Linked DNA regions of Tribolium castaneum. The protein of the gene in region 2 interacts with the protein of the main gene of each other region in a pairwise test. Links are inferred from orthologs where the notes say so. Each region holds a gene or a part of one and is shown on either strand. Other genes may lie near its edges.

What was found.
Region 1: the proteins of Rala (region 2) and Sec5 interact in a two-hybrid assay, tested with the Drosophila melanogaster proteins (2 studies listed by BioGRID). The link is inferred for Tribolium castaneum from reciprocal best matches to the Drosophila melanogaster genes Rala and Sec5.
Region 3: the proteins of Rala (region 2) and Rlip interact in a two-hybrid assay, tested with the Drosophila melanogaster proteins (6 studies listed by BioGRID). The link is inferred for Tribolium castaneum from reciprocal best matches to the Drosophila melanogaster genes Rala and Rlip.

Annotation. Positions count from the first base shown.
Region 1 is NC_087403.1:223,767-226,085, forward strand, and holds the end of Sec5 (exocyst complex component 2), read right to left. Parts: intron 1,983-2,319; coding exon 1,138-1,982; intron 961-1,137; coding exon 858-960; 3' UTR 655-857; downstream 1-654. UniProt on the Drosophila melanogaster protein: Component of the exocyst complex involved in the docking of exocytic vesicles with fusion sites on the plasma membrane.
Region 2 is NC_087395.1:14,770,619-14,774,849, reverse strand, and holds Rala (ras-related protein Ral-a), read right to left. Parts: upstream 2,816-4,231; 5' UTR 2,341-2,815; intron 2,260-2,340; 5' UTR 2,254-2,259; coding exon 1,765-2,253; intron 1,129-1,764; coding exon 1,012-1,128; 3' UTR 468-1,011; downstream 1-467. Other genes in the region: bic (transcription factor BTF3 homolog 4), read right to left, coding at 4,143-4,231.
Region 3 is NC_087403.1:3,536,267-3,540,294, forward strand, and holds Rlip (ralA-binding protein 1), read right to left. Parts: upstream 2,534-4,028; 5' UTR 2,392-2,533; coding exon 2,304-2,391; intron 2,253-2,303; coding exon 2,123-2,252; intron 2,078-2,122; coding exon 1,869-2,077; intron 1,817-1,868; coding exon 1,555-1,816; intron 1,509-1,554; coding exon 1,331-1,508; intron 1,284-1,330; coding exon 570-1,283; 3' UTR 524-569; downstream 1-523. UniProt on the Drosophila melanogaster protein: Participates in receptor endocytosis during interphase, is also involved in mitotic processes when endocytosis is switched off.

The DNA.
Region 1 (2,319 bases), on a different chromosome or scaffold from region 2:
CGTCGAATTTTGCAACAATTTGTGCTCTCAACTCGCACAATTTGTTAAAAACTAGTTCGTCGCTAAACTCGCGACAATTCAAGATTTGTTGTGTTGTTAATTAGCATTTAAAATCGCGACTTTCACTTTTTGACCTATTTCTGACAAAGAAAAAAATTAGGGTAAATTAATAAATTGCCCTGAGTTATATCCGACCATAATAAAGATACTTATGGGTATAATTGCTAATTTATATGTATGAATGACTGAGATTTAGAACATGAACTAGCGTTTTTTCAGCTGAATTACTCAATAATAATAAATAGTAATGTCATTAAAACTTTCACAATCTCATGTAGGCTGCCACTTCGCGCAAATATCCCACTTTTAATTAAATTTTATTTTACGTCAAAGGCGCACATCGCAGCCTTTTTTCACAAACTCGTAAAATTATAAACCTGTTCCACGCCTTGGCGCCTTGTCTTAATTTATGTCGAATAGCCAAATTGTTGTTATGTAACGCAGAAGCGATTTTTCCCAATTGTCAACCGCCGAAAACACGACATAAACAATTATTTTTAATAATACTCATAATAATGATTGTTTAATGAATACACCCTGGCATATGCAACCAAGAATACACCACCCGAGAAGTGAGGGAAGACAAAAAAAACATTTTAAATAAGTTAATCTTTTATTACATTTTACACAAAATTATTGTACACCCTAGAACAAAAGTTAACCACGATAAATTACAACTGAAACTGTACACGAAATACACCCTATTATTACTTCGTCTTCAAGGCATCTTACTTTATGTACAAATAGTTATTGGAAAAATAATGAGCAATAGAATCACAGTTACTAAGCTTGTCGAGTTAATGAGATCTTTTCTTGACTGGCCCGTTTGCGTGTGACGTTAGACACAGGAGTTGTATCCTCATGCGGGCCCTGCACTGTCTCAAAATATCCTGCACCACACTGGAAAAAAAGGATAAGCTACACACAAAATATTTAATTTTTTGCTTAAAATATAAAAGAAATAACGTGTACAAGGAAGAAAGCACACAAAGAAAAAAACGCACAAGGAAAAAAGATAATAATTAATAAATAAGCTAATAACTGTTGTTAACCCTAAACAAGCAGAGAAAAACTTACGTGGCTTCGGAGTTTTCAAGCGGAGGAATAATATCTAAAGCTTCCTGAAAGTAGCTCCGAGCTTTAGGTGTCGAGTAATGGTCGAAAAAAATTTGCAGTGCGCTTATGTCGGCTCTGGCTTGTTGTGCCCCGCCTTTGCTAAACTTCTGAACACAGGACATCAGTCGGTATAACTCTTCGGCTATCGTTAGGACTACTTGAGGAAGTACGCTTTCTAGTAGAGAAGACGAAATACTGTTAACTTCAGAGTGGACATGGATCACGTTATTGATGCACTCCTTTGCATAGGGCCTTATATTATTGGGGGTTATTTCAATGTCCCAATCAAATCGGCCTAAATACATTGAGGGTTCGATTGTGCCAACTAAAGGATCACTTTTCTGTTCCAAATACTTCTCAAGGATCGTTTTTTCGAGCACATCCAACTTATCTTTGGCGTTTTTGACTGGCGTTTCCGGTGCCGGGAAACCACTCTCCTTGAACTTCCGTAAAATGGTGTCAAAGACCACGTTTTTGGCATAGAGGCAATTCGAGAGTGTTATTAAAAGACGGTGCTCCCAAATCGGCATATTATTATTGGTATAATTCGTTCTATAGCCATTGATCGGAGTTCCGATTAGTTGCGAGACGACAGGTGACGTATCCTCATCGTCATCACAACTCTCATCCGACGATAAATTGTTCAAAACGTTGTGAAACGACACTAAAACTGCTTCGATCTGTTTATCCAACTCTTTATGCGCAGTCGGATTTTCCAAGAGAGGTGTTTCGCGCTGCTCCGTCGATAAAACCGATTCCTTAACGATTTGGATCACGTCTTGGATGATGCGCTCGAATTTGATTGGCTGGAAGAGGCACATGACGCGAAACTCGCCAATCAAATCAAAATATTGAGATCATACTTTTACACACTGTTCCGAAATGGTTGTTCAAGTCAAGTCACCTATGAAATTTAAGCGTAATGTGCCGCTTAACACAACAAAAATCACGGAAATACAAAACACAAATCAAGACAAAATCTACAGTTAGAACAATTTTGCCGAAAAAGGCAAAAATGATCTGATGAACAACCATTTTTGAACACATTGTATTATGATAAGTTACAGTGAAGCATTTAAAAACAATTAGTCAATGAGTTTTTTGTATCATAACTTTGTTTCATAATTATTAACTTACAATACC
Region 2 (4,231 bases):
AAAAAAATCTTCAGTTCTAGTTTCACAAATAAAATGCTCCCATTATCTTCATGTTTATTTTTTACAAATTAAAACTTCTTAATACGACCTCGTATGTCATAAATAAATAAATATAAAAAATATGTACAACAAAACTTAACAAGCCGACCACAATGCGGGTTTTTTTAAAGTATGAAATTAGGTTAGGTAATTGACACTATTGACAGATGGGTGGCTAAAAATTAGTAGCTGTTTCAAAACTATAAAAACGCCAAAGTCGCTATTTACCAAATCATTTTCTTCAATAATATTGATATGATTGTAAAATAGTTATAGATCTTTCATTGAAACTATAAATTACATCGGTTATTATTTCCTTGAAGTGCCTGAAAAATTTATAACAGCTATTTTTGAGAGAAAATGCGATGTTGAAACAGCTAATACATCGTAGTTGAGTTATTTGAAAATTGAAAAATTTGAAAAAAATGTCCAATGTGAGTAAAATTTTATTATAACATATTGCGATGGCAGTACACTTTACAGAAATCTTCTTAGTGAAAAGTATGAAAATATACTTCCCTCGTAGATTTACAGATCTGATTATTTTGTAGCGAAAATATTCCAATAACATATTGCTAAATAATGGTATTTCTCTTACGATAACTTAGATTAAAAGCAAAACAGAACTGAAATTATCGTGCAAAACCCTTCTGAAAAATAAACATAGAAATACTGGTGATGTAAATGATGTGTAATAAAATCTAGGTTGTTTCACACAATAATAAACAGTTCGAAAATAAATTATTTCTTAAAACTACGAACATGTACACTCTTAACAACTATCATAACAAAAGTAGATTAAAAAATATAAGTGAGGGTACAATGGTGGCTAAACAAGTGCCATAACCCTATGAAATGTAACTAAAATTCGATATGAAATACAAACATACAAATACATATATTACATACAAAGTTTTCATGTCATATAAAACGATTTATGACTATTTCTTAAGCATAACGTTCTGCCATTCTCTAAAGTATGGTGCATTTTAATTTCTTCTTTTTACTTTTGTCTTTGCCTCGGCCATTGTTTGTCTTGTTCTCTTCCATTTTGCGGGCGCGGATTTCCCTCATCAGGTCGTAGAAAACCTAAAAGGTCAATAGCATTTATCAAATAGTCCACATAGATAATACGTGAAAACAGAAATCTCGGGGCATTAAAAAAGTATACGGATATCTAAAAGCTAGGATGTGACAACGTACAAATAAAACGTGCACGTCCACGATTTCATTATTGAATGAAATTAAAAAAAAAATTATTGCGATAAGGGTTAACTCATAGCAAACAAAAAAATACAGGCAGGTAGAGCATTACAATCTCAATAGTAAGACATTTTAATAATAATCATTTTGTTTCTCATGTTCTTATAAAAAAATTATTTTCAGTCTGTTAAAAGTACAAAGTTCAACATTTCTTTATTTCTTTACATGTAATTAGTAAATTGGTTGGATTTAAATTAATTTGGCGTCGAGACGGTATAACGCTCAAAACGCCCTCATTTTGACTATGCCGTACTGTTTTTTTGCAGCAAATCCAAAAACACCTTTGCTTTTGGACCCAACTGTTTCAATTAACCGTACGAAAACATCTGCTCTTTGACCTATTGTTTTACAGCATGACTAATATTCCCACAAAATTAGATTACTATCGGTCATAAAAACAGTCCTATTTTATTTTCTGTCTCGCTGAAGCCTCTAATTACTTGAACCGCTAGCGTGACCCACCTTGTCGACGTGCTCCCGCGTCTTGGCCGAAGTCTCCACGTAGGGCACCCCCCACTGCTTGGCCCTGTCGCTGGCCTCTTGAAACGAGACTTTTCGCCGGTCCTCAAGGTCACTTTTGTTCCCGACTAGCAAAAAGGGAATGTTTTCGTCGTTTTTCACCCGCAGGATTTGCTCCCTGAACTCTTGCGTGGCTTGAAAGCTCTCGTCCTCCGTGATGGAGAAGATGCACAGGAAGCCTTCGCCGCTGCGGAAGTAGTTGTCTCTGATCGCGGCGTAGTCCTCCTGACCCGCAGTGTCCAGGATGTCGATCTGGACGTCTTCGCCGTCCAGGAGGATCTTCTTCCGGTAGGAGTCCGCCTTGGTGGGCTCGTAGTCCTCGACGAACTCGTCGTACATGAACTGGAGGGTTAGGGCCGACTTGCCGACGCCTCCGCTGCCCACCATGATGACCTTGTGCAGGGCTGGCTGAGTGGTCGGTTTTTTCGACATTTTCGGCTGGAAAGCGGGGAAATGCCGGCGTATATTGCATTACCAGTCATTGACCCCACCGGGGTGTATTCAAAGATTTTGACTTACCGGTGGTCACAAAAGCAAACTGTGAACGGGTAGTGACGGTCCTATTCCAGACCAATTGTAAAGAATAATCACTTGTGCTTTTCTGTCCTAACTAACTGAACAGCAACAAGCAACACCAACACAACCTCACCGCTGCTACTTGTAACCTACTTCACGTCATCCTTCCATTAGTCATCTTTTTCCTGGTATTTTGTCACGCGAATTCTTTGATATTTATTTTCACTTATTATCTCAGGACGATTTACTGAGGAATGAGTGTTATTTTGAAGAGGATTTTAAAGATACGTGTCAAACATGGAATTGTCACTTTTTAAATATGGAATCAACAATGGCGGTAGGTGGGCGCAGCCACAGCGATTTTCGTAATTTAATGGAAAAATAACGGAACTGGACGCTCGTGATCAGTCGTGATAACATTAATGTGATAAGCCGGTAGTAAAAAATATAAATTCAGACCGCAATCATTAAGAACAACCTTAATTTTATCAATATTATCGTTTTTTTAAATTGGTACTAAAGGTGCGTTCACACCGAAAGAACGAGTCCTATTTTGTTGAATTTTTTGCTTATTAATTACCAACTTTATCCATTTTTAAACTGAAGTTGGTATTAAAGATTACTCAACTTAGCGAATAAAGTAAAACTTTGCAGTTGAATTATTTAAAGTAGGTATTTTACTCTTTTACTCACGATTTACGTAAGCCATAGATAAAACAGCTTATCAATTCATCGTCCTTATACACATACAGCAATTCACCCAATTTAAGATTTAAGCCTTATTAAAATAAAATACAACCCAAAATGGTCATGATTATAACACAATTTACAGAGTTTTAGGGAATGGCTTAGCAATATTCAAAATTGTGGCTAACTTGTTCATTTGTGTGGCAGGTTCGAATCCCGGTCCTGGCAAAAAAAAAATTTTTTTCCGTAAAATTTAATAACAAAAACAAATTGAAATAGAAGAATATAGGTCGGCCTTTCATAATAAATTCACACTAGAGTTTAAAAAAGGTTTAATAAAAAAGAAAAAATATTTATTAAAAAAATAAAGATTCGTGGTTCCTCCACAAAGATACATTGGTTTGAATTGCGTTTTTTTTTCAAATGCAGGCTAATAATTTTAGTGGTTTTGTTATTTATGGCCTAGATGATTATCACTTTTATTTCTCTTTCAGCACATTTATTCACATTTTGTTTATTCACTAAACAATTTATTTTATGCCCCTTACGCCCAGGCTTTCATGAGTACAAAAATTAAAAAAAAAGATTTCTAAAATAAATCAGGCAGTTTTTAATAAAAAGAGAGCAATTTTTGTGATGCCAAATGATTATAAAAACAGTTAATTTTTATAGCACTTTTAACCCAAATGTACTTATTAACATTGACGTAATCCTTAAAACTTTGCTCTTTAAAATTTTTGCCTATCTTTATCACCATTGTACTTATTTTTAATCAACTCCACATGAGCGGTTAGCCTGTATTTAGCTAACAACGCAGTAAACGGCTTTTCTAAAAATAAACTCCTTCAGATGTCTTTTGGGTTTTTATTGTGTGGCTTACGGTGGTAAGCATTTCTTGTTAATTACACTGGACAGAGATTCATCAAGAAATAACAAATCTGTATTAGAATATTTTGTATTTCCTATGAAATATTCTATACAAGTTGCGTGTCTAATGTTTAACAAAAAAGGATTTGGTACAAGATTAGCAGACACATCTCCACCAAATACCACGAAATGTGTCCTCAAAACCATAAAAATAGGAGCAATAGATTCGAGCCCACTAAGCATAAACAGGATTAATTTTCTTTTGGCTTGTCCTCCCCCTCCTTCTTGGCCACCTCCGCCTTCGACGCCTCGTCGAAGTTGCCCACCAGATCCGGCACGT
Region 3 (4,028 bases), on a different chromosome or scaffold from region 2:
GGTTAAACGGAATCATCTGTGTAAACAAAGTCGACAATTTAATCAAAAGTTGAGCAAACTTGATTATGATTGTTATTGACGTGGGAGTCATAAATGGGGTTTTGGGTCACAGAAGACTTACCACGAGATGGTCCCTTGAGGCTTCGATTCAAAATGTGACTTATAACAATATAATAAAATGAGCAATGTATACACACTAAACACTAACGAAACTCCTTATCTTATTTATTGACTTTGCCAAACGCCAGCAAACATCACAAGGGACGGTCGTAAAAATCCAACAAATAACAATTAAAAAATTAAACACCTTCAACCACTTCCTATTCTAAAATAATATCGGACATGAAACAGTACGAACTCACTCCCCACTAAAAATAAAAACAACACGCACAAAAACATGTAAAAATACTCGACTTAAGTAGTGCTAGCGCCGCCTGTTGGCTTAGTTCAGGCGCATTGCTAGTTGCATACCGTAACCTTAGGCCCACTCCAATGTCAAGTCTACCTAAATTTAAACCCAGCGTCAATTTGAACATTTATTATATACAGTTACAATAATACTGGACACATTACGACTTGGCTAAAATCTGCGCTCTCAGCTCGATGCACATCTCCTGCTCCTCGATGATCTGGCGGACCAAGTTGATCTTCTTGATTTGCAAAATTTGGTTCTCCTTGAGGAACAGGTCCATGACTTCGTCCAGGTCCTCGTTGGGCACCATCGCCACGGGCGGCACCTCCCCCGTGATCTGCGAGCGCAGCACGGCGATCTGGCCGCGCTCCGCCTGGATGTCCTTCAGGAGCGAGTCTCTGAGCAGCAGCAGCCCCTCGTTCTTGAACTTCAGCAGCGCGACGCTGCCGTCCAGCTCCGACTCCTCCTCGCTGGCCGCCTCCTCGGGCTGCGCCTCGGGCTCGGGGGCTTCCACCTTCTCGACCGCTTCCTTGTCGCGGTTCGCCGTTTTCAGCTTGCGCTTCAGCTGCGTGATGATCCTCTGCACCTCCCAGAGGAGCTCCTCGCGCTGCTTCGAGATGCAGCAGACGTTCATCTCCTTGTGGATCTGGGTGAGGAGCGACTCCTGCTTCTTGAGCTCCGTCTCGATCTCGGGGGGCTCCTCGGGGAGCTTGGCCCCGGACTCGAGAGGGGGCACGTAGCGCGCGATTGTGATTGTGGGGAAGAGCGCGAGGCAGTGGTGGAGCAGGGCGTGGAGGAGGCGCGAGGAGCAGTGGAAGGTGTGGTTGAGGGCTGTGGAAATGGCTTGTTTGTTCATTTTGTTGCATTTTTCCTGCGAAACGCGCTATACTATGGGGGCTGGGGTGTTAAGGCACTCACATTCAGAGAAACGTTGTGTAAATGGGTGATGAGCCAGCCGAGGAGCGTTTTGTTGTGGGGAGGTAAAAGGTCCACTAAAATTTTTAAGTGTTTTTCGCGAGTGTTGAGATTAAGGATGGCTCCGGCTTCCTCGAAACGTATTAAAAGGTCGTTTGTAAAAAGTGGTTCTGGTAAATCTCTGCAAAGAGTTTTTGCCCATCATGTTACACCTAAGAAAAGGTTACCTTAAATAGGTTTTTACTAAACTTGTGACGGTTGGAGGGTCGTAGTCATTTAAATTGATATTGCCCCTCTGATTGTACATTTTACGTATTTGGAGAACTTTTGATTTTGTTCCGCTGATTTTGTATATGCCTTCGAACGACATACCTACGGTTTCTACATAGTCTATACATTCCCGAATGGGTAAAGGAATGTCTACACCGTCATGGCACCGGCTCCTCTCAACAGCCACGTCTAAACTAGCCCCGAAAATCGGTAAAATATCTGGAACGAACAATTCATTCCAATTTTATTGTCATTATGTAAGAGTTCTCACCGCCGATGTCAGCGGTCTCGTCAATTGACTGTTTGAGTTTCTTCGTTTTCTCACTCTTGACTTTCTCCTTGTCCTGCTTCTTGTCATTCTTCTTATCCCGGTCTTTCTTCTTGTCGAGATCTTTCTCTTTTTCGCGGGATTTGTCCCGTTTTTCTTTGGCTTTGGTGGAGAATTTGAACGGTTTGGCTTTTTTTGTTTTCGACGGGCTTCTGAAACATCCCAGTGAGGGTTTGAGTGATTGCAGGTGTGATTACCTCGACTTGAAATTTTCATCAGCTGAACTTTCGCCTTCTAAAGCGGCATAACCTTTGTCTTTATCCTTCTTCTCTTTGCGTTTTCCGATGAGAATGTCCTTTTTCAAGACTTTCTCATTTTCGTCACTATCTAGAAACGAGTTTTAATCGGGAATTAGTGGTTCACTTAATTTATTATTACAGTCGCTGTCGTTATTGCACTGCTTATTTAATTCGGATGCGTACAAGCCTGGGAAATCCTTCATTACGTCGGGGCTATCAAAATCCATATTGACACGGTTGGGTTTGAACTTTTAATAAATAATTATGACACTATTTTCCCAAGGGAATTTGTTGCTAAGCATGTTAAGCTGGGATAAAACAGAAACAACACAAATCAAGTCATCTGAGTGGTGTAATATGACAGGTGCTTGCCCTGCCATCTCTTGAAGGAACTGGTGTTGAGGGCCGCCTTAACCGGGAGATTCGAAATAAAAGACGAGCTAGTTTTGTAATTTTTTTTAATTTTTTTTACGTGTTACAGGAAGACAAATCTTTGACCACACTTCCACAACACACTTTACAAACTAACTTAACTATGTAATAAATTGCAAGGAGTTGAGCAAAAAAAACGTTTAATTATCACAAGATTTATGTGTTTTTTCGTCTCGCCTGCAATCAATTGTCGATTGCACGTGGTTGGTTGCAGGCGAGACGGAAAAGCAGATTTTCAACTATCTTAAAATGATGAATTAGTACTCTAAATACAATATTACGAAAACACATACAAAAGAACTCCTTGCCTGTCCTATGATTTACATTTTCATAAACATACCAAAGGGAAGGTCATTATAAAAATATATCAAGAGTAGTTGACACCTAAAACTGTTAACAATATAAAACAAATGGGATTTAGTCGTATTAATAAAAACAGAGTTTCAAGTAACAACACCTTTGTCTAGTCTTGCCCCTAAACCAGTTGTCAAGGGGTCCTAACACAACTTATAAATATCCTCAAGCTAGATCAAACGAGAGGAGTGAAAGAAAATCCGGCAACGTAACAAAGTAAAAAGTAGTCCCTACTACGGGAGAAGTGAATGAAAATCCGGCAACGTAACAAAGTAAAAAGTAGTCCCTACTACGGGCGGAGTGAAAGAAAATCCGGCAACGTAACAAAGTAAAAAGTAGTCCCTACTACGGGAGGAGTGAAAGAAAATCCGGCAATGTAACAACGTAAAGAGTAGTCCCTACTTTAGATCGAGGCTACGCGCAAAAAAAAAACAATAATATAATAACAAAAGAAACGGTGGTTGTGTCATTAAATGGTATTAGAACAACGAGTTGGCGAGTGGCGTTTATCTATAGTCTTGAAACAACATTACAACTAAATTTTTTTGGGGAAATGCATACCTTAAGTAAATAAGTAAAATTTACCATCGTATGATTGCCATTTTCAATGAAAAGTGCAAACATTCTTAGCTCAACTAAACGTACATTGATTGTATTGTTTTCTAATGAACCAACCTTAAGAAATCTCAGCTAAGCAGTTATACGTGTAGCCCAGCTACATAATGCTTAATATATTGGTACACACTAAAGCGAAAACGAAACAGCCTATTTTTTAGATTTTATATATGAAAGTATTGTGGAGTGAGCCCATATGTATGTACAAAGTATAGCGCAGTCATTACAATACAACTGATTAATGTAACCATCAAACTCACACAAAACTTTATGACTAAATCATTCACGTTATATAATAATAGAACCGATACGGTCTCCACTGACATTTAAAAAATATTGCGTTGCATAGCTTCATCTTGTAATTACTAGAAAAATATGAAACTGTCAGTTATTTTAAGGCAATGGCACTTGCGCAAATCTACTTACACTTTTATACATCAGTTATTCATTTTTATACAAACAT